Linked DNA regions of Xenopus tropicalis. The main gene of each other region encodes a partner of the protein of the gene in region 3 in a complex. Links are inferred from orthologs where the notes say so. Each region holds a gene or a part of one and is shown on either strand. Other genes may lie near its edges.

The links.
Region 1: the proteins of itgb7 (region 3) and flna are in contact, whole or in part, in a crystal structure (PDB 2BRQ), measured with the Homo sapiens proteins. The link is inferred for Xenopus tropicalis from reciprocal best matches to the Homo sapiens genes ITGB7 and FLNA. Residues at the interface, in NP_000880.1 of Homo sapiens: Pro776, Leu777, Tyr778, Lys779, Ser780, Ala781, Ile782, Thr783, Thr784, Thr785, Ile786, Asn787, Pro788; in NP_001104026.1 of Homo sapiens: Thr2263, Gly2267, Ala2268, Gly2269, Gly2270, Leu2271, Ala2272, Ile2273, Ala2274, Val2275, Glu2276, Gly2277, Pro2278, Ser2279, Lys2280, Ala2281, Ile2283, Phe2285, Phe2311.
Region 2: the proteins of itgb7 (region 3) and itgae are in contact, whole or in part, in a cryo-EM structure (PDB 8ZJF), measured with the Homo sapiens proteins. The link is inferred for Xenopus tropicalis from reciprocal best matches to the Homo sapiens genes ITGB7 and ITGAE. Residues at the interface, in NP_000880.1 of Homo sapiens: Val201, Leu202, Pro203, Ser206, Thr207, Val208, Pro209, Ser210, Lys211, Arg213, His214, Cys216, Pro217, Arg219, Leu220, Glu221, Arg222, Leu255, Asp256, Ser257, Pro258, Thr291, Phe292, His293, Thr294, Ala295, Gly296, Asp297, Lys299, Leu300; in NP_002199.3 of Homo sapiens: Phe36, Leu38, Arg91, His92, Arg93, Gly94, Leu111, Arg113, Leu118, Ser119, Ser120, Leu122, Glu196, Glu198, Arg230, Tyr233, Glu234, Phe237, Glu238, Cys239, Asn240, Ser259, Gln260, Val262, Met263, Leu266, Arg300, Leu401, Gln403, Phe406.

What each region holds. Positions count from the first base shown.
Region 1 is NC_030684.2:31,797,186-31,804,472, reverse strand, and holds part of flna (filamin-A), read right to left. Parts: intron 7,127-7,287; exon of another isoform or gene 7,071-7,126; coding exon of another isoform or gene 7,052-7,070; intron 6,694-7,051; coding exon 6,556-6,693; intron 6,305-6,555; coding exon 6,178-6,304; intron 6,093-6,177; coding exon 5,956-6,092; intron 5,867-5,955; coding exon 5,673-5,866; intron 5,454-5,672; coding exon 5,340-5,453; intron 5,250-5,339; coding exon 5,106-5,249; intron 4,875-5,105; coding exon 4,751-4,874; intron 4,644-4,750; coding exon 4,483-4,643; intron 4,232-4,482; coding exon 4,141-4,231; intron 4,028-4,140; coding exon 3,858-4,027; intron 3,746-3,857; coding exon 3,628-3,745; intron 3,543-3,627; coding exon 3,280-3,542; intron 2,988-3,279; coding exon 2,390-2,987; intron 2,288-2,389; coding exon 2,114-2,287; intron 1,615-2,113; coding exon 1,452-1,614; intron 1,162-1,451; coding exon 1,001-1,161; intron 916-1,000; coding exon 745-915; intron 499-744; coding exon 375-498; intron 291-374; and 3 more. UniProt on the Homo sapiens protein: Promotes orthogonal branching of actin filaments and links actin filaments to membrane glycoproteins. Anchors various transmembrane proteins to the actin cytoskeleton and serves as a scaffold for a wide range of cytoplasmic signaling proteins.
Region 2 is NC_030678.2:30,815,704-30,823,638, forward strand, and holds the start of itgae (integrin alpha-E), read right to left. Parts: upstream 5,354-7,935; 5' UTR 5,281-5,353; coding exon 5,238-5,280; intron 1-5,237. UniProt on the Homo sapiens protein: Integrin alpha-E/beta-7 is a receptor for E-cadherin. It mediates adhesion of intra-epithelial T-lymphocytes to epithelial cell monolayers.
Region 3 is NC_030678.2:147,383,667-147,391,637, reverse strand, and holds the start of itgb7 (integrin beta-7), read right to left. Parts: upstream 4,865-7,971; 5' UTR 4,772-4,864; intron 1-4,771. UniProt on the Homo sapiens protein: Integrin ITGA4/ITGB7 (alpha-4/beta-7) (Peyer patches-specific homing receptor LPAM-1) is an adhesion molecule that mediates lymphocyte migration and homing to gut-associated lymphoid tissue (GALT).

The DNA.
Region 1 (7,287 bases), on a different chromosome or scaffold from region 3:
GGTGCCATCCTGATTATCACGGATTGTAGCCTTCTTGGGCTTGCCCTCTGGATCCTGTAGGGGAGGGACAGATTAGTCTACAGTAATAACACAGAAGAGATTCTTATATACACTTTAATTTTAAGGCACTTACAGTTATCTGAACAGCAAGCAGGCCCTCTCCAGCATCCTTGGCATCAATAGTGAACTCCACAGGCAAGCTGGCAGGAACTCCAGTGGTGTTTAAGCCTGGTCCGCTTGCCTTCACCTTACTTGCATCATGAGTTGGCAGAACCCTAACCTTAAATGGGCTGAGAGTAAAGAACACAAGGTTAAAAGAAACCAAAAATTCCAGAAAAACTTATGAAGATCAGAGAACAGAGTTTGGCTCTTACCTGTGAGGTATCTCATCATCACCATAAAGTACAGAGATGTTATAAGGTCCTTCTCTAGTTGGCACATAGTTGACAGTCTGGACGCCATTTCCATTATCCACAATTTCCACTGGTTCAACAATACCTATCAATATCAAACATTATACAATTGTTGACCAGACAGTTCGAAAAACCCTCACAAGGTTATGATCACTGATCCTTTAAAGGATGACCTTAAGCTATGGTACCTACTTGCTCAGCAAAGTAACCTTTTTAATAAAAATAGATCTATTTACCAAGTGTGGCGTGGAGAACATAATCGTGTCATAAACCCTTTGGACACAATGTAATAAAGCAATCTCCCACCTACTAAAATACATTTTTAGCTTACCCTTGGGACCTTGAACTTTGACTTGCAGAGGAGCAACTCCAGCTTTGCTTGTGTCCACACTGAATGACTGAGGGACGTTTGCTCTTACAAGACCGGGGCTCAAACCAGGGCCGGTACATTTGACTTTTGAGCTATCGACCACATCGCTAACTGGAACTTTAAAGGGGCTACCTGCATGGCAATGAAGTAATGAGCACAGTTACTCAGCAGAAACCAGATACCCGACATTAGCATGGTTACACGCATTAAATCTTACCTGGAACTTGATGTCCACCATATGTGACATTAAGGTTGTATGTGCCAGGTTCGTACGGTACGTATTCCACAGAACAGCTGCCATCCTTGTTATCGGTACAGGACATCTTTGCTTCTGATGGACCTTCAACAGCCAAGCCAAGCCCTCCTGTACCAGCTCCTCTACAGATGGAAAGGAAAATGCTTAGGATATTGCTTCATACCTATGCAACATTAAGATTTTTTTTTTGCTATTAAATTGGTGAAAGGAGAAAAACATGAAAGGAATATTCAGCCATGTTAATCCTAGAGCAACCAATCAAAATGTTGCTTTAAACAAACTTATGCTTAGGGCTATAGTTTACTACTCCAAAATAACATACCAGTTTAAGTGCATTCTCTTTGGCAGGAGTAACCCAAGTGAAGTTAAGAGTGTAGTTTTAGGAAAGCACAGCATAATACTATGAAATTACCTTGTCTCCACAGTGAATTTGTTTGGTTGGTTTGTGGTACCGCTCACAATGCCAGGGCCATGGACTCTGACACGGCTTGGATCACACCCTTCTGTCACAGGGACCACAAAGGGACTTTTTGGGGCTGGGCTTCCGTCGTAGATTACATCAACAGAGTGGATTCCTGATGGAAAACATATTTTAGAAGTGGGTTCAACCATTCTAGAACTTAGTTTATTTGTAACTTATAGTTTTTATTTTGTTTCACTTACACAAATGAACATAGCATGTTAAGGCATTTTATAGCATTATTCATACATTTGTCGTCAGTCTACAACTTAGTTTTGTTATGTCCTTCAATTTACATTACATTTTACATTAACATTTATTTATAAAGCGCCAACATATTCCGCGGCGCTGTACAATAAGTGGGTTACATACATTGGACATACGGAGTAACATATAAAGCAATCAATAACCGATACAAGAGGTTATGTTACTACAATGTTCATTTTTGACTGTTTAAGGGAATTAAGGTGATTGCACCCTTGTGTCCAGAATGTTGAGGTGCAGAAGAATATTTCATTGTTCAGTGCCTCAGACAATTATGTTTCAGTCATACATTAGTAAAGTAAAATCTTGTGACAAACTGTCACCAATGGCCCAATTACTGTGTGGCTTACCCTCTTCATATGGAGTATATTCCACTTTGTATGTGCCATCTCCGTTGTCTTGCACAAATGCCTCAGTAAAGTTGCCAGAAGGATTGGAGACCACGGTCTTGAGATGAGGCCCTCCAGATTTAGTTAGAGCCCGAGCATCCACATTGAAATCTGTAGTAGCTTCTCTGAAAACCCCTGGAGAAGAAAAATGCAGAAAATCCTTGTTAAACATCTATAAAACTTCAATCCACAGACTTCTCCCGAAAAATATTTACAGTGCTCGTGTGTTGCACTTACCTTTCCCTTCAACTCCTGGTCCATAGACTTTAACCCCAGAGGTGTCAATGGCAGGTTTAACTTGCAGCTTACTTGGGAAGTTGGGCACCATCTGTCCTCCATACTTAATGGTGATAGTGTAGACCCCTGGGTACAGTGGGATGTATGTAATGGTGTAAGTTCCATCCCCATTGTCCTGGATGTGTACTTCGGCTTGCATACCATTGTCTGAGATAATTTCAATGGTAAGCTCAGCGCTGCCAGCATTTGAACAGTCCACATTAAATTTACCAGCTTCTCCAACCTGAGCATGTTCCAGACCAGGACCAGAACAGGTCACCTTTGAAGGATCGAAACATGGCTCAACCTTAGCCTTGAAAGGTGATCCAGGGATATGTGTATCAGCAAACAAGATATTGATATTATAGTCACCACGTTCTGTAGGCAAGTAAGAGACAGAACAGGTTCCATCTCCATTGTCTAGACATTCTATTTTGGCTTCACATGGACCTTCAACAGTGAGACCAAGCCCACCTTGGCCTGCACCTTTAGTGTCAATAGTAAAGGGTGCAGAGGAACCAACACTGCCTCCTTTTAGACCAGGTCCAAAAGCTTTGACCTGCAAAAGAAAAAAAAAAGTTAAGCTAATGAAATTCTATCCTGCATAACTACACTCTCAAAAAGGACAACTATTCAATACCCGGTAGGCCTCTTTTACTATATAGAATTGTTATCTTAACAAAAGTTCGATTTCCAGGACCCCAGGAATTGGTGAGCATAAATTTGCATCCACTAATGGATGCCCTGCCTGCAACACCAAAACTCATGAGTTCTCCTTGACCAATATCAAACCAACATTGGCCATAGTATATTTAAGTTTCTATGTTAAGTGATTAACACAGGAGCTCTACCTTTGAAGGATTTGTTGAAGGAACTGCCTCAACGGGAAATGGGCTACCAGGTATAGGCACTCCGTCGTACGTCACGTCTACCTCATATGGGCCTTCCTCCCTAGGGATGAATTTGACAGTGCTGTTATCTGGGCTCAGACCAGGTTCCACCTTGCAAGGAACAGACTTGTTGGATGGTCCTGTGATCTTGCAAGCCACTTTGCCTTGTCCTCCAGCACCCCTGGATTTTACTGTGAACTCCTGATCCTTCCCGACCTCCACCTCTGGGCAGGGGAAAATATAAAAGCTTGTAAGTTGTAAATCAAAAGCTAAAGATCTTCCAAATTCATAATCTAGAAAAATACATACTGTCACCAAGTCCAGAAACTTTGATTTTACTGAGGTCCAAAGTTGGGGCAATGCCAACGGTGAAGGGACTCTTTGGAATATGGTCACCACCATAGGTCACATTTACACCCATGTTACCCTAGAGTGAAAAATAAGGTGAAATAAAATTTTAAAAAGCAGAATAAAGTCACTACCAGATCAGACATTCCAATGAAAATTAATTTAACCAAGAAGAGATTCAGCAGATGTACCTGTTGCACTGGAGTGTATTTTACGGTGTAGGTGTTATCGTGGTTGTCAATAACATCAAAGTCCTTCACAGCCTCTCCCTTGGCTGGACCTGTAAACTGCACGTCTAGGTTGGCTTTTCCAGCAGCCTTGGTGTTAACTGTGAAATGAGTTGGTTTTCCAATTTCTACACCTTTAAACACACAGGAAGGTACATAATGAAGGATTCTGGGAAGTCATGATGGTAACCAACTGCAGACAATGCCAATAGTTGAATAGCTTGTTTGCCACTGAAACAATTCTTACCACTTCTATTTAGTCCAGGTCCTTCTGCCTTAACTTTACTTGCATCATGTGATGGATCAACCTTGATACGGAATGGACTCATTGGAGTAGCCTAGAACACAGAAGGATTTTGTCAGTGGTGAATTCTTCAATAACAAATATGAGAGACTTCTAACTTTTCAGGTCAGTAGGAGCTGCAGACCTAGAACTGTAATATGCCAAGTGATTGATTCCAGTGTTTGTGGTTAGAAAGTTAAATAAGCACAAATCCTTACTTTCTCAAAAGTTGGATTTAGAAAGCATAGAACATATTTCCTCCTAATGAGCAAAATAGTACCACAAAGCAATGATGCAGACAGTCACCTGGTCAGCAAACAGGACCATGATGGTGTAGCTCCCAGCTCCAGGAGGAGTGTACTTCACGGTGAATGTATCATTATCATTGCGGATAATGTCAAAGTCTATGTCCGCCTCAGCCGGGCCCACAACTCCTGGGGCACATTTAATTCCAATACTCACATCACCTGAGTGGAAAGAAACATATACTGGAGTGAGAAGCAGGAGACAGTAGAATTTTACAAAGAACAAACTCAAAATCAAATTTTGACAAAGCACCCTGAACACTTCTCACCTTGACCAGCTTCTGTGCAATCCACAGTAAAGTAGGTTGGTTCATGAGCTTTCAGGCCAGTCTTAGCAACACCAGGTCCATAAACCTTCACCTTGTTAGGGTGGCTTCCAGCACCAATAGTCATCTACAAGGTAAGCAGGTGGATACAAATTACTTTATATATAGCTATCACCAAGTTTGTTTTTTCAAGGATATTATCACCAGATCTATTATCACCAGGTATAATACAACCCAATACAAAAATACAAGGGATAATGTAATCATTTTCATTACTATTGAGTGCTATTCTGCTATCTACTGGGAGCTACTATCTTGCTATTCCTTTAGTGTCAACCTGTTAATATAAAGGCCTTACCCTGAAAGGACTGTTGGGAATGTTCACCCCACCCCAAGACACCACAGCTGTGTGTTTCAGAGGTTTCTTTGGCAAATAACTGCAGCTGTATGTGCCATTTCCATTATCTTTGGTTGTGACATCCACTGGAGTGCCTTCAGAATCCTGCATGGTGACCAGTCAGAGTTAGGAATTTCCAGAATGAAGCAAGTCAGTCTATTCTTTTTTTATTAAAAAAAAGGGAGTGAGACATACCTGCACAGACACCTTGAGAGGAGCCTTTCCTCCAAGTTTGGCATCAACAGTGAACTCTGCTGGTTTGTTTATTGCCAACCCAGTCTTCTCTAGCCCAGGACCATAGGCCTTGACCTTAAATGTTTCAAAAATAGCAGCAGTTAATGCATACGCATAGACAAGGAGTAAACCGAGCACAGAAAAGGTTTGAAAGGCACTGCGACCCAAGCAATCTCCCACAGAGCCATGCACTTCCATGAATAAGAATTTGCAATAGATCTCCACAAAACAGGAGATTAAAAGTTCTGCTAAACTATGCATGCAACAGGGTAGCTGCTCACAGCAGTTGTTTACCTTCTCTGGGTAGAAGTCTTTGGGGGCTGGTTTGATATCAGCCATGAAAGGACTCAGTTTGATGTCCTCATTGTTGCACAGAACATGCACCGCATACTCTCCAGGTTCCAGTGGCCAGTAGCGCACATCACAGGACCCATCTCCTTTATCGTCACACTCGATCTTAGCTTGAGATGGACCTTCCACAGAAAACCCTACAAGAGACAGTGTAAAAAATGCATTGCACCGATATCAAACAGCCTCATCACAATTGAGTATCGATACACAAGGTTGATGAACTTACCGAGAGTCCCAACATCATCACCGATTGCTTCTACAACAAAGTCAGCTGATTTTCCAACCACCCCTCCTTCAAGACCAGGGCCCCATGCTCGAACTCTTTGTTGTCCACATTCAGTGCCAACTTTTACCTCAAATGGACTGAAGGAGGAAAAATGAATACCTTGCTAGTGACAACAGTCCTTCCAAAGTCGCTGAGAAAGGGGGAAGAGAGAAGCTAGCTCACCTTCTGGGGATATTCTGTCCGCCCCATGTGATGGTAACAATATAGTTCCCAGGTGTAGCTGGATAGTACTCAAAGGCATACACACCATCTCCTAGGTCCTTCTGCTTGACACGTTCCTCTGTACCCTCTGCAAGCACAACAGTAAATGTCACCCAAACAGGACAAACTTCATGAGCAGTATGGCTAGCTAACCAATTCAAAATGGAGACTGATCCACATAGAATAAAATGTTTTGTAGTCAACAAATGTATTGCCGTCAAAATAGGACAGTAGCAACATTTGAGCCAAAAATGAAATACCATGTTTATGTGTCAAGAAGAAAAAAATAAAAAAAAATAAACTTAACAGAATACAAAGGCTTCTCTAAATATCACTCACTTGGTCCCTTGACCACAACTTTAAGTTCACCGCTTCCTGCGCCTTTAGTATAAACCTTAAAATCCGCCGTCTCCTTCACGCGTACACCCTTTGGCTGCAAGCCACGGCCCACAGCACGGCAGGCGGCGGGATTGCAAGCTGGAAGAACAAAAAGAGCAACAAAAGTCAGCACTCACACTGTAATGCTTATGGACACTTCACTGTTCTAATTACTGCAGTACCGGGGTGGTGGGAAAGTACATAATGTTGGGAAGACTTCCTTGCCATTCAAGTAGAAGCAGATTTTTTTCCAAAATGATTAAAATATGAGCAATTTCCTCCAATTAACCATAGCTGGCTCTAAACATGCATCCTGTTTATTAAGATCCTTCAGATGAACTAATTAGTACAGTTAATAATGAAATGGCATTCTTATAAGATACTGGATTTGAGAAAATCATAACAAAAAAAAAAAAAAAGCGCAAGCCGAAAACCACCACATGGCATGCACATGTACCGTAAAGACCTCTGTCCATGCTCCCCACCAGCTAGTAGGGAATGACACTTCGTGTAGAGACAGCAAAGTTCCAGTGAACTGACCACCTTCCAGAGATGGAGGCATGAAGAATAGAGGAAAAGAGACTTAAAAAGCAAGAACATTGTAAAGCGAGAGTAGTCTATTGAAAGAAGGAAAAAAAACAGACAGATGAGAAGAAACTGTTGGAGATTTGACCATAACAGAAATGTAGACTT
Region 2 (7,935 bases), about 120 Mb from region 3:
CCCCCCTGCATGGTTCTCACCTCAGATTCAGGCTGTAATCAGGCTGTATTGTTTAAATATGTAATTCCCTGTGTTGTTCACACCTTTTAATCTCTGCATTGTTCACCCCCTGCAGTGTTCACACCTCAGGCTCAGGCTGTAATCACCCATATTGTTCCCCTGTTCACACCTCAGGAGCAGTACCCACAAATAATCCCTGCACACTACAAAAAGAACATATACTGAGGTGGTACTGCAATTAAAAAGTTTTTTAATATATAGTTATTGTGCAGACTGTAGGAGCAGTGCCAGCATTGTGTCACTGTAGGCTGCCTGTGTGTGCCATACACACAGGCATCATAGGGCAAGCAGAGTATGGCATACACAGGCAGGGTAGGGAAGGCAGAGTATGGCACACACAGGCAGAGTATGGCACAAACCAGCCAAGAATGGCAAACACAGTGAAAGTATGGCACACGCAGGCAGGGTAGGGAAGGCAGAGTATGGCACACACAGGCAGGGTAGGGCAGGCAGAGTATGGCACACACAGGCCAAGTATGGCACAAACCAGCCAAGTATGGCACACAGGCAGGGTAGGGAAGGCAGAGTATGGCACACACAGGCAGGGTAGGGAAGGCAGAGTATGGCACACACAGGCAGGGTAGGGAAGGCAGAGTATGGCACACACAGGCAGAGTATGGCACAAACCAGCCAAGAATGGCAAACACAGTGAAAGTATGGCACACGCAGGCAGGGTAGGGAAGGCAGAGTATGGCACACACAGGCAGGGTAGGGAAGGCAGAGTATGGCACACACAGGAAGGGTAGGGAAAGCAGAGTATGGCACACACAGGCAGGGTAGGGCAGGCAGAGTATGGCAGGTTTTTGCTGTACTACAACCATTAATATGGGTATGGTCATGTGATAACATGGGTGTGGTTTCAAGTGGGTGCGGTTTCAAAAAAGGGAGTGGTCAAAACTGGCTTCCATTATCGGCCCTCCACCACGTAGGTCGGAAAAATTCCGGCCCTCGGTACAACAGAAGTTGGACAGCACTGTGTTAGGATTTCATTTGGCGGGGAAGGGAATTAGCACTGAGATATCACTGGGGCGGTGCTTCTACGTGCGTGCCTGGGGCACAGTTTCAGTCTGAGCGCATGAGAAAGATAATTCATATGTTCCTAAGCAGAAGAAGCTTTGCATGACACCTCACCAGCCACACTACCCGCAGTGCGTCTCATCCCCGGCTCTATCTGCTCTGAATCCTAGACCTACTTCTGCAAAGCCTTCCGGCCTCAGTGACAAAACCGTGGGTTACAGATGTGCTCACAGCATTTCATCATTTGGTGCTGAAAAACTCAAATGAGTTAAATTAGTTTTCATTTCACGCTAATGCTTCTTAGAAAGGTGCTATATTCTCCCATTAGGTCAGTGTTTCTTGAACTTTTTGACCTAAATTAAACCAATGGATCAATTTCAAGAACCAAAAATCAGTTTAGAAGCAGATATACACCTCATTTCAAGAGGTTTTTAAATGAACTTGATGATATTCTGAGACAACTGCAATTGGTCTTTATGTTTTATTATGTGTGGTTTTTTATTTATTATGATTTTTGTTCAGCAGCTCTCCAGTTTGGAATTTTAGCAGCTATCTGGTTGCTAGGGTCCAAATTACCTGAACAACCAAGCAGTTAAGACACTGGAATATGAATAGGAGAGGCCTGAATAGAAAGATAAGTAATAAAATATAACATAAAATTCAAACTGTAGCATCACAGAACAATAGTTTTCTTGGCTACTGGGGTCAGTGACCTCCTTTTGAAAACCGAAAAGAGTTGGAAGAAGAAAGCAAAAAATTCAAAAACTTGAATCAAACTTCAATCAAAAATTGAAGTTGCTAAGAATAGCCCATTCTATAACAAACTAAAAGTTAGTTTGAAGGTAAACCAGATATGCTGATGTTACAATTATCTTCTCTAGTCAAAAATTCACATTATTAATGGGGATCTGAACCCTGCTGCACTGCCCCGATAACCCACACTTCAATCCCTGAGTAATGTAACATATTATTAAGGTTTAGGCATGCTGGGAGCTGTAGTCAGACAACATTAAGATTGTATTCTTATAGCAACATGACACAATAAAACATTTCCCTAGCTTTCCTCAGCCTGCAGCTGCATTAATGTGCAAAAGGATCCTCCAATGAGAGTCCAACCTGATCTGTGTAAGCCTGGCTATACGTTCTTTGTTTCTGCATTTGAAGTTTGAAAGCATTTAGTTTGCAGTTAGTGCAATATAAAAAAGCAAAAGTGACATAATCTCTGTATATAAGGTAACAGCAAGTTGGCTGACATAGTGCTGGTGATCAGCTCATTGGTGAAATATATTAAGGCAGTGCTGTCCAACTTCTGTGGCACCGAGGGCCGGAATTTTTCCGGCCTCCGTGGTGGATTGCTGAAAATGGAAGCTATTTTTCACCACTCCCCTTTTTAAAACCACACCCACTTGAAACCACACCCAATGTATCGCATGACCATAGCCATATTAATGGTGGCACTACAGCAAAAACCTGCCATACTCTGCCTTCCCTAACCTGCCTGTGTTTGCCATACTCTGCCTTCCCTACCCTGCCTGTGTGCACCACACTCTGCCTGCCCCACCCTGCCTGTGTGTGCCATACTCTGTCTGCCCTACACTGCCTGTGTTTGCCATACTCTGCCTTCCCTACCCTGCCTGTGTGTGCCATACTCTGCCTTCCCTACCCTGCCTGTGTGTGCCATACTCTGCCTGCCCTATGCTGCCTGTGTGTGCCACACTCTGCCTGCCCCACCCTGCCTGTGTGTGCCATACTCTGCCTTCCCTACCCTGCCTGTGTGCGCCATACTCTGCCTGCCCCACCCTGCCTGTGTGTGCCATACTCTGCCTTCCCTACCTGTGTGTGCCATACTCAGCCTGCCCTACCCTGCCTGTGTGTGCCATACTCTGCCTGCCCTACCCTGTCTGTGTGTGCCATACTCTACCTGCCCTATGCCGCCTGTGTGTGCCATACTCTGCCTTCCCTACCCTGCCTGTGTGTATGGCACACACAGGCAGCATAGGGCAGGCAGAGTATGGCACACACAGGAAGCATAGGGCAGGCAGAGTATGGCACACACAGACAGGGTAGGGCAGAAAGAGTATGGCTCACACAGGCAGCATAGGGCAGGCAGAGTATGGCACACACAGGCAGCATAGGGCAGGCAGAGTATGGCACACACAGGCAGGGTAGGGCAGGCAGAGTATGGCACACACAGGCGGCATAGGGCAGGCAGAGTATGGCACACACAGGAAGCATAGGGCAGGCAGAGTATGGCACACACAGGCAGCATAGGGCTGGCAGAGTATGGCACACAGGAAGCATAGGGCAGGCAGAGTATGGCACATACAGGCAGCCTACAGTGACACAATGCTGGCACTGCTCCTACAGTCTGCACAATAACTATATATTAAAAAACTTTTTAATTGCAGTACCACCTCAGTATATGTTCTTTTTATAGTGTGCATGGTTTCTACTGTTCCTGAGGTGTGAACAGGAGAACAATATGGGTTATTACAGCCTGAGCCTGAGGTGTGAACACTGCAGGGGGTGAACAATGCAGGGATTTAAAGGTGTGAACAACACAGGGGATTACATGTTTAAACAATACAGGGGGTTTACAGCCTGAATCTGAGGGGAGAACCATGCACGGGGCCAGTTAATCTCAGTTCTGATAGATTTAAAGCTTACACAAAGGTAAATTATCAAAGCAGCCAGACAGGTGGGGGGCCACACAGAGGGGGGTCGCGGGCCACCAGTTGGACAGCACTGTATTAAGGTTTAATAGGCACCTGAATTTGCTTTATATGGCATTGCTCTTACTGGCCCTTTGATATCACAATTACACAACTGTAAGATTTAACAATATATACATATAACAGGTCATTTCAATTAATGTTTAAAGCATTTAGTAGTATTTTAGTCAAACTGCAAATGGCCCTTAGGTTTGATACTTTATATTTTTTTTAACTATTTGCTCTGCAGCTCTTCAGTTTTAATCTGCTGTGCCCACTTACACTTACCCTGGCAACCAGGGTTTGAATGGAAGTCTGGTTGATGAATAGAAGACGGCATCAATAGAAAGATAAGTAGTAATAAAAAAAAACAATAATATGGATAAAATTCAGTTTAAAGCGGTATTTCACCTTAAGGTTAATTAGTTTCAGTATGTTAAAGAATTCCCTGTTCTTAGCAACTTTTCAATTTGTGCCTCATTTTTTATAGTTGCTAGGTTAAATTAGACCTTAGCAACCAGGTAGCTTCTAAAATGCCAAACTGGAGAGCTGCTAAACAAACATTGTAATAATTAAAAAAAACACACATAAAAAAACATAAAGACCAATTGCAGTTGCCTCAGAATATCATCAGGTTAATTTAACAACCCCTTGAAATGAGGTGTATATCTGCTTCTAAACTGAGTTTTGGTTAATAAACTGCAAATAATAAAAAAATGAGGATCAATTGCAAATTGTCTCTGAATAGCACTCCAATTTCATACTTAAAGTTAATTTAAACGTGAACTACCTCTTCAAAGAAAATTCTAGATCAATGACAAATAACTTAGAATATCAATCTCTACATACATTAATAGGTCTGCCTGTTTTTTTTTCACCTAAAAAGGGATATAAATAGGGGAAGAAATAATACCTGCAGTGTGCAAATTGTGTCGCGGAAAATAACATTAATATTAAGACCACACCCACTTTTACTTGACAAAAACAAACAAAATCAAAAAGAAATGAAAAAAGAAATATCTTAGACCAAATGAGCTTTCAACTGGCCATTCTATTACATAAAAGTTAACTCAGAGATAAACCACCCCTTAAAATTGATTTTACAAACAAAGCTCTCCAACTTTTTCCAGCTTGTAAGTCAATTAGCTTTTAAACCCTGGAAGTGACCCATATACCAACTATACAAAAAGTATAGAATTTAATTTCTAAATGGGATTTTAGTGAATCAATTACTTGGGATAAGCAGGAATTCCAGTATAAAATAATGACATAAATTCTCCATGATGCAATCAAAGCATGAAAGTCTGTGCAAGATGAGTGTCAGACTGTCAGACAGTGTACAAGTGTCAGACAAAAAGGATGAAGCATATTGGTGTTGCTGCTGAAAAGGGTTTATCAGTATTACTGCTGCAATTAAATATCTATAATATAGCTGTAAAAAGTTCTTACTTATCATGAAGATAAAACCGGGAATGGAGGTGCCAGTCCTCATGCTGTGAATGAATCCAGCCTGGTAGTGAAACAGTGCTCAGACTGAGCTCTCAGTGTGTGGGTGTGTGTGGGTGTGTGTGCGTCTTCACTCCCCAGGTCTCACACTCTGCTGTCATTTCTGTCTAGTTCCACTGTTGTTCATTGTTGTTCCACTTTCAATCATCTCCATGCCACCACTTTTTATTGTATTGTATTTGTTACTTCTTACATAGCACCAAAAGTGTTCGCAATGCACATAAACATACATAAACACAAACAGGGAACAGCATCAATCAGAGAGTGAGAGTAAATATATAAATGCTATGAGTTTCTGTACACAGGTGGGATAGGATCCCTGCCCCAAAGAGCTTACATGCTATTAATAGGTGGTGTCATAAATGGAAAACCGGATACTTCACCAAGAGATATTAGATGTTACTTTGTGTGAGCCCCCTAACAAATATATATATTCAGTATAAACAGTATATACAGTGGTGTGAAAAACTATTTGCCCCCTTCCTGATTTCTTATTCTTTTGCATGTTTGTCACACTTAAATGTTTCTGCTCATCAAAAACCGTTAACTATTAGTCAAAGATAACATAATTGAACACAAAATGCAGTTTTTAAATGAAGGTTTACGTTATTAAGGGAGAAAAAAAACTCCAAATCTACATGGCCCTGTGTAAAAAAGTGATTGCCCCCCTTGTTAAAAAATAACTTAACTGTTGTGTATCACACCTGAGTTCAATTTCTGTAGTCACCCCCAGGCCTGATTACTGCCACACCTGTTTCAATCAAGAAATCACTTAAATAGGAGCTACCTGACACAGAGAAGTAGACCAAAAGCACCTCAAAAGCTAGACATCATGCCAAGATCCAAAGAAATTCAGGAACAAATGAGAACAAAAGTAATTGAGATCTATCAGTCTGGTAAAGGTTATAAAGCCATTTCTAAAGCTTTGGGACTCCAGCGAACCACAGTGAGAGCCATTATGCACAAATGGCAAAAACATGGAACAGTGGTGAACCTTCCCAGGAGTGGCCGGCCGACCAAAATTACCCCAAGAGCGCAGAGACAACTCATCCGAGAGGCCACAAAAGACCCCAGGACAACATCTAAAGAACTGCAGGCCTCACTTGCCTCAATTAAGGTCAGTGTTCATGACTCCACCATAAGAAAGAGACTGGGCAAAAACGGCCTGCATGGCAGATTTCCAAGGCGCAAACCACTTTTAAGCAAAAAGAACATTAAGGCTCGTCTCAATTTTGCTAAAAAACATCTCAATGATTGCCAAGACTTTTGGGAAAATACCTTGTGGACCGACGAGACAAAAGTTGAACTTTTTGGAAGGTGCGTGTCCCATTACATCTGGCGTAAAAGTAACACTGCATTTCAGAAAAAGAACATCATACCAACAGTAAAATATGGTGGTGGTAGTGTGATGGTCTGGGGTTGTTTTGCTGCTTCAGGACCTGGAAGGCTTGCTGTGATAGATGGAACCACGAATTCTACTGTCTACCAAAAAATCCTGAAGGAGAATGTCCGGCCATCTGGTCGTCAACTCAAGCTGAAGCAATCTTGGGTGCTGCAGCAGGACAATGACCCAAAACACACCAGCAAATCCACCCCTGAATGGCTGAAGAAAAACAAAATGAAGACTTTGGAGTGGCCTAGTCAAAGTCCTGACCTGATGTTGTGGCATGACCTTAAAAAGGCGGTTCATGCTAGAAAACCCTCAAATAAAGCTGAATTACAACAATTCTGCAAAGATGAGTGGGCCAAAATTCCTCCAGAGCGCTGTAAAAGACTCGTTGCAAGTTATCGCAAACGCTTGATTGCAGTTATTGCTGCTAAGGGTGGCCCAACCAGTTATTAGGTTCAGGGGGCAATTACTTTTTCACACAGGGCCATGTAGGTTTGGATTTTTTTTCTCCCTAAATAATAAAAACCCTCATTTAAAAACTGCATTTTGTGTTTACTTGTGTTATCTTTGACTAATAGTTAAATGTGTTTGATGATCAGAAACATTTTGTGTGACAAACATGCAAAAGAATAAGAAATCAGGAAGGGGGCAAATAGTTTTTCACACCACTGTACATACCAATTGTCACTGCACTATACAGGATTTTTTAAAAGATTATAATGGTGCACAGATGGTTTGAATAAGTCAGGTAAGTTTGTATGTTCTCTCTGCGTGGGTTTCCTCTGGGTACTTTCCCACACAAAAAACATACAGGCAGCTTAAGTGGCTTCTGACTAAGCTGACCCTAGTGTGTGAATGTGATAGGAAAATTTAGGGACAGCTCTAGAAAATCTATCTAGAAGGGCTGCACTGTTTGCAATTTAATTAAAATGCAATCAGTGCAGCCCTGCAACATGTATTTACTAGATGGGTCATTGAATTTTCAAGTTATCTGGTTACTCTAGTTTTATGTGCCACATGAGCAGCTGCTGCACAGATTCTCTGTAAAACAGAGGGCCTTTAAGTCCCAGAATCCATCACTTTGCAATGGAACAAGGTGAGGGAGGGGTCAAGTGATACTGTGAGCCTTAGGGGGTGGGGAATGGTTCCTATGAGTCACATATAGACTGTCATGGCTTCCTTCCAATCTGTCAAATCAGTTGTGTCTGATTAAAGAAAAAGTAAAAAAAAAGTATACTTATTTCTGGACAT
Region 3 (7,971 bases):
GTTGTGGAGGGCCGATAATGGAAGCCGGTTTTGACCACTCCCCTTTTTAAAACCACACCTGTGTTATCACATGACCATACCCATATTAATGGTGGTAGTAGAGCAAAAACTCTGCCTGCCCTATGCTGTCTATGTGCCATACTCTGCCTGTCCTATGCTGCCTGTATAAGCTGCTACAGTCTGAGGTGAGTCTGAGGTGTGAACAGGGGAACAATGGGGGTGATTACAGCCTGAGCCTGAGGTGTGAACACTGCAGGGGGTGAACAATGCAGAGATTAAAAGGTGTGAAAAACACAGGGGATTACATGTTTAAACAATATGGGGGATTACAGCCTGAATCTGAGGTGAGAACCATGCAGGGGGGCAGTTAATCTCAGTACTGATACCATTTAAAGCTTACACAAAGGTAAGCAATCAAAGCAGCCAGACAGGTGGGGGGCCACACAGAGGGGGGTCACGGGCTGACAGTTGGACAGCACTGTTCTACATCATATTAAAAGTTACCTCAAAGATGAAAATCCCTGTTAAAAGGTCTCTCTGTGAAAATGAATAGTAAGCAATATGTGGGCAGATAATGTATTGTGCTTAATGTCTTGAGGGGCAGATTTTCAGCTGGGAAAAATGTTTTAATATCTTATCACTATGCAATCTAGAGTATGAAGAAAGCCGGTAATGTTTCTGCTTCCACATATCAGCAGTATCTTTACAAACAGGCCCCAGAGTAGCGCACAGAGAAAAGGAAGGAAAGCAAAGACCTGATTGGCAGGAAAGATATGGAACTCTGTTATTGCTCAGTTGTCTGTTTTACACCACAAAAAGTTGTTGGGCAGAACTTCTCTTCTTCTTGCCTGTTCCCATGGCAACATCAGTACTGTTACTGGAAGTTACTGGGTCCCACAAAAAATTATTTATAAACTTTACCGGCAAAACTAGGGAAGATAACCTATTCTTGAAATATACATTACCCACTGGGTACCCGACTCAAGGGCCCATCACCCAGCCACCGCTGCTCCCGCTCTGCTGCGCTACTTTATTCGCAGCAGCCACACCCACTCCCAGTGGAGAAGGGAGTTGGGGTGGCCGGCTTGTGGGTAGGTGGCAGTTTCCAACAGGGTCAGGCCCACTGGGATTTTTCCTTATTTTCCCGGTCAGTCTGACATTAATGGAAGTTCTAATTCAACTACTGATGGAGGCTAGATGTTAGATGGTTCATGCTATCTTGTCTTCCCTTGTCATCGCTACAGAGCTAGAGTCTTTTCTCTTAAAGAAAAAGTAAACCATAAAAAAATAAATGTAAAATTGGTCAGGATGCTCTTCTAAGCACTTTTGATATTTACATTATATTTTTGCTTGTTTCAAAGCTATTAAGCTGATTATATCTGCAAATATAATGAACTTTGTAACAACAGCCCCACCTGCTGGTCAGTTTTTCTAACTGTATGGCCAGACAGATACACGCTCACAAGAAAAACAGAGAACGGTTCTGATGTTGCTCGGCTCATGAATGAGATTGGAAAGGGCATCTGAGGTTTCTGATCCCTATCCTGAGCAGAGCAATGTCCGAACAGTTCTCTGTTTTCCATCAAAACATGTTCTCATCAACTGTACAGTCAGAAGAACTGGCTAGCAGGCTGTGTTGTTGTTACAAAATTAATTACATTTTCAGTTGTAAAAAGCTTAATAGCTTTGAAAGTAAGATTTACTTCTCCTTTAACACCATCTTCCCTAATATCCACAGTATCCCACAGTTGCAGTCCCCAACCCCTGGCACCATCCTTATATATTATACACACTAGTGCTCATTTATGAATCCCAGTGTGAAGATTTTCTAAATTTGCTGGGATCTGTACTATCACGATTCATTGGGTGTCAGTCAGTTATATGTATAGATACAACACCCAGAGGGGAACCCTGGAAATATCACCTCCTTAATACATGTGTTAATCCCAGAGCCCTTTGCAGCTGCACGTTCTGTATGTTGCACATTGCACCTTATTCCTCAAAGCAGAGACAGAAGGGTTCATTTATGAATGCAATAAAGTGCAAGGTGGAAGAATGAGCACATAACAGAGCATGTATTGACACTATTCATGAAGGGACTTGCACCCATGCATGCTCCTCGGCAACTTGCAGCGAGCAACAATGCAACCACCCAGCCTGCCTTGGTACATTGTGTGCATTTGTAGATACGGGTGCAAGGGACCCCACCCAGACCTGCTCATAATTCCGCCGGTCCCATACTGGGATGTGTTCATGGGTGTAACTGACTTGTCCCCGTATTGCTGCGATGCTGAGCCGCACAGTTAGTATGAAACTCTTAGAAGACATGCTGCATTGTTGGTAAAAAAAACATGGTGAATTAGGAACTGACTGGTTCTTTTCACTTGCTTTTTAATTAAGCCCTTGAGCCTTAAGTGACTTAAAGGAAGCTATGGGGAAGATTTCTCAAAGTATGAAATTAAAGCTCACCACAGAATAATGCACCCACGTTCTATTTATTCCTAAATTCACAATTTATTAAATACGTGTCTTAAAAAACCCCTAGGAATGAATAAAAAGTGGGCGAAAAAAAAGTTTTTCTGTGGTGAGCTCAAACCTCACATTTTGAGTATAGTGAGAAGCTCTGAGAATTCATTCTTCCCTTTTCACCAAAACTATGCACTACCCAGTCTGTGTGACTCTGTGTTATACAGCAGAAATGACCAGGCAAATGAAGAAGTTGTCTGGTTGTGTTGCAGCTGTAGGTGACAGTTAGGATATGTATGTCAGGGGAACTTTTCTTTAGCACGGCAGCTTGCAGGGTGACAAATGCAACTGGGATATAAACTGATTATGTACAGAGCAGTGCTTAGCAGGCAGACATAGCAAACAGGCTGCCGTTTGTGGCTGCTCCAGGCATGGGATCCATTATCCAGAAACCTATTACAGGTATGGGACTTATTATCTAGAATGCTCGGAACCTGGGGTTTTCTAGATAAGGAGTTTTTCCTAATTTGGATCCCCATACCTTAATTCTACTAAAAAAATATTTAAACATTAAATAAACCCAATAGGGCTGTTCTGCCACCAATAAGGGGTAATTATATCTTAGTTGGGATCAAGTACAAGGTACTGTTTTATTATTACAGAGAAACAGCAAACCATTCTTAAAAACCTAAAATATTTGATTAAAATTGAGTCTATGGGAGATGACCTTCCAATAATTCGGAACTTTTTAGATAATAGGTTTCCGGATAAGGGATTCCATACCTGTATAAACAAATGCCATTTCCTATACATTTCCATTTAAAAAAACAGTTCTTCATTTTTGACTGATTTAAGACAAAACCATGTTGATGGCAAAACAATCCAAACAGATTTTTATTCTCAAATGTTTTTAGCAGCCTAAAAATGCACCCCACATTACAGAAAGATCCCTTATCCAGAACACCCAGGTTCCAAGCATTCCAGATAACAGATCCCATACCTGTACCTGCCAGCTAGCTGCTCCCCGCCACTCTCCATTTATATCCAGTGCAAAGGGCATACAAACCCAACATTAAAACCCCCCAAAAAGGTGAAAGTGTGTGTTTTCTCTCAGTTATCACCCACAGAAGGCAACCTGAGCCAGGAAAAAAGATAGTTTTGTGGGGATTACAATAGATAGACATCTGTCAGCCATGGAAACCTATGTGCTAACAATAAAGGCATTGGATCCAGCACTGTTGGGGCTACTGGTGTATAGAGCATTGTTTCTTGGACTTTTGGGTTCAAACCCCTTTTAAACGTGTTGGTTCACCTTTAAGTTAACTTTTAGTATGTTATAGACTAAATCTAAGCAACTTGTTAACTGGTCTTTATTAATGAGTTTTGAAATGATTTCCCTTCATCTGTGCATGGAAATTGTGTGCTATGTACAGCACCAGGTAGCCGTGACAGGGTGTGCCTGCGGCCATTTCATACTGCCTTCCGCTTCTGACTTTTAATTGTTGAACAAAAAGTAAAATCATTTAAAATATAAAACATCTAATAAAGACCAGTCGCAAATTGTCTCAGAATAGTACTTTCTATATCATAATAAAAGTGAACTCAAAGTTGAACAACCTGTTTAACGTCAAACACTTGGTTGAAGTCACCCTTATTATTAACAAAGGTGTTTTATGTGTGTGCCCAAACATCATAATTGGCATTCAGGACTGACTGCCAGGAGTACCTTGGAGAGCAAATATTAAATTTCCTCTAACTTTGCCCTAAGGATCCTTTTATTTGGGCCCCCAACCATTACTCTGGGCCCCACTACTCTGAGTGTGTATATAACCAATATAAATAATCTTTCCTTGGTACATAACTTTTTTGCAGGAGTCCAATGGTCCTTAACCACAAACTGTCAACACAATACCCTATGTAAGCGCTTAAGGCAAGCCCCCATGCATAAATGCTTTCCTATGGAGAACACCATATAACAATGTAGGCAAGAAACCCAGTCACTTATGAGCTCACAGGTCCATTCACTGGCATCATTGGTACCAACTTCTGCTTTGTGCCAAGTTATCTAACAAAGGAAATGTCTTTCTTTCACTTCTGCCCCCTTTCTCCTTTCCATCACCAATGAGATTCATGATCCTTATCTTTGTTGTTTGCAGGGTGTGAAACAGAGAAATCATAATCATACCTAGGGAATTGCTTAGGTATGATTGTAAAATGGAACGAGGCCCCTCGTAAGGTCATATTCAGAGGGACAGGTGCCGAAGCCAAGGGAGGGAAATTTGAAAGAAGCGAAATGTTGACTTACTGTGTCCCGCAGATCAGGGCTCTTCTGCCAAACAACTAAGAACTAAACAGATGATAATCATCAGACTTTGCAACAAAGTATGAAACCTACCCAACCCCCCATCACCTCAAACCCCTTCCTCATCATCTGTCCCAGCCCCTGAAAAGCCACAAGCCCATAGCATGAGCGGAAGAAATGAACTGTGCCTGCGTTGTGTAATGAATGCATGATTCTGAGCAGTTATCTGCAATACAAACAGCTTATAGGGTGTAATTCCTGAGGAACTCCCTGTGACCGTATGTTGCTTAATCACCGTGAGCATCAAGGCACCAGGAGTGTTGGATAGTTTGTCCTTGACAATGAACTAGGGGTTCAAACTATTGCAAATTGGCTGGACAGATTGTTGGGCAGGGTGAGAGGAGACCTTCAAGCCTTGATAGATATTAATGCAATTAATCCAAGTTAAGGAAAGGTGAAAGATTCTCAGTTGTTTCACTCATAGAGAAGAAACAAAAATGAAATCCTTTATATTGCTAACCCAGAGCATATTTTCAGGGCTGACCTGTGCCCTCTGACGCTGCACTATGTGCCCAGCACAACTATTTCCCTGGGCACAAGTTCTGCCTGAATGAACACCAAGTGGCACTTCTGCCAGCGTGAGTAGTAAATGACCTCTTATAATCATCGTTATTATTAGTCCCTGCCCCGGTGCAGCTTACAAGCTAAGTCCCTAGCACATGCATACAACATACTAGAGTCACATCAGGAGCCAGTTAATCTGCCTGTCTGTTTTTGGAGTGTGAGAGGAAATTGTGGTAATGCAGGACTCCCACACAGTCATGGGTAGAACATATTAAGGCTCGATTATAATGTATCACGCACTGTGCTAAATGCAAAAAAGGAACAATTGGCAATTGGCAGTGTAAAAACAGCTCAGGTCTCTGAGGCACATAGGTGTCCTTCCTCCCACCACCTACCTGCCCCTACTTTTTGAGTCCTTCTGAGGTGCAAAACAGGAGAGGCAGGAGGTGCAGCCGGCTACTGAGCCCTGTCTATACTGCCTGCCTTGAGGCCCTAATGACAGGGCTGAACTGAACCTCCTGGTGTTGCTCTCTGCACCAAGCACTAGATTTTTGATCCAAAGCTTTTTGTAGGGATCTACAATTTTTTGGGGGCACAATTGCTAGTAAATGAGTGCCAATGTTCACTAATTCCTTTTTCGTTATGTGCCCCTAGACCGCCCCCACTGGTTGCCCCCCCCGGCACTGCAGAGAGCACAAGCCCCCCCCCCCCGCCGTAGCAGAGAGTGCGAGTCCCCGGCCGCAGCAGAGAGCACAAGCGCGCATGCACACACCATACATTTAAACTCCCATATGGAGCAGTGGGGAGAGGTCCCCATTCCTCCGTATGGGAGCAGAATTCAAAACCCCTAAATTTCTGCCGCCCTAGGCCCGGGCCTTTGTGGCCTCTCCACAAATCTGGGCCTGGGTGTGCACATTTTTGAATACTGTGTGCTCAGGTCAGATTTTTTTTTTTTTTAAATTGTTTTCACACAGTGTTGTGTGCACTGGCCACAAAATCTGCACTGCTTAGAGGGAATATTGTTGAGCACTAAGGGGGACACTCTTGCACCCCCATGGTTGTATGTGACCCCTATAACTTGCTTGAACCCAGGCTACAGATTTGCAAAGCTGCAGTGATAAAATCTGAGCCACCGTGGCAAATAATAAATTGCAGGCAGAAAATCATCCAGGTGGAGAAATAAATTCAGAGCATGTAATAAACACTGTACAAATGCTAATATGGTATATTTAATCTAAAAGCACACAGTTCTCAAGAAAGACAGACTGATCCAAAAACATCTAATATACATAAATAGCAAACAATGCGATAGACTCTATTATAAACAAATAATCCTTATTCTCTGTAATAATAAAACAGTACCTTGTACTTGATCCCAACTAAGATATCATTAATCCTTATTGGAGGCAAAACCTATTGTGCTTAATTAATGTTTAAATTATTTTTTAGTTGACTGAAGGTATGGAGATCCAAATTATCTGTAAAACCCCAGGTGCCATTCTGGATAACAGGTTCCATACCTGTACATGGTAATCCTCATATTTTATACCTGTACATGAGGTATGGGTTACAGTTATTTGTGGGGAGAAAGAATGCTTAACTCAGTCTTAGCTTCACAGTTAATAAAATAGCATTTTCTTTTCTCATTTACTTGCATTACATTTCGTCGGTTACAGGTTTAAGATCCAAACCATTTTGTTCTGGAGTTTTGTACCTTTTCAGTTCTGTATATTCCATCACTGAGACCAAATTTCTATTAACCTAATATCCCCTATCACTCTCGGTTCCTCCATTCTCATTATACTTCATTTACACGTCCTGAAACCTCCAGTTGGGGTTTTCCAGTATCTGGGAATGGCTGCTCGAAGCAAGCATTGGGGTATTTATTCATTGCTAGTGTTGGAGGAACCCAACAGCACAGAGAGTATGGTGCCTGCTGGATCACTGGGTAAGTCGCTTCCTATTGCCTGCTGGATTTTTTAACCTGTAACCAGAAGGGTTTTTATAATGTATGTGTGTGTGTGTATATATGTATATATATTGGGCATTCCCTTCCCTGATTACATCTCCAGCATGTTGGTGAGATGCCAGGAAACATATGCTTAATGGCCGTTAGACACCTGTACCGTCTAATCGCTCATCTAATCGCTCATTTCCTGGTGCTTGCCGGCTATGCTTGACTTGTGTAATAGTAGAAAGCACCTTCTGTTTTTTATACGTAACTAGGTTCTCCTTGAGATTTGAACTTGTCAACGACACAGAATAACTTCCCCTACGCTTAATTTAATGCCAGCTCCAGACTTCCACCATTATTGTTTGGTGCAGCCAACATTTTCCTGAATAGTTTTAAATTAAAACACCTGACACCCAATTTGAAATCGAATTTTGGATTTATTTGATGTTTGGATTAAGTTAAAGGAATGTATACTCATGTTCCTGCAGTTTAGCCTTCCCTTAGATGCCACTGTAATGTGCTCTCTCACTCAGATATGGTGTTGTCTAGAAGCTGAGGGAAGTGTGACAATACTAGGGCATTACACCAGTCAAGCAGGCCCTTAATGGACCTTGAAATTGGAAATTTCAAATTCTCTCAGTGCTCTCATAGCCTGTAAATACAGATTTCCCAGAAGCTTTCATAC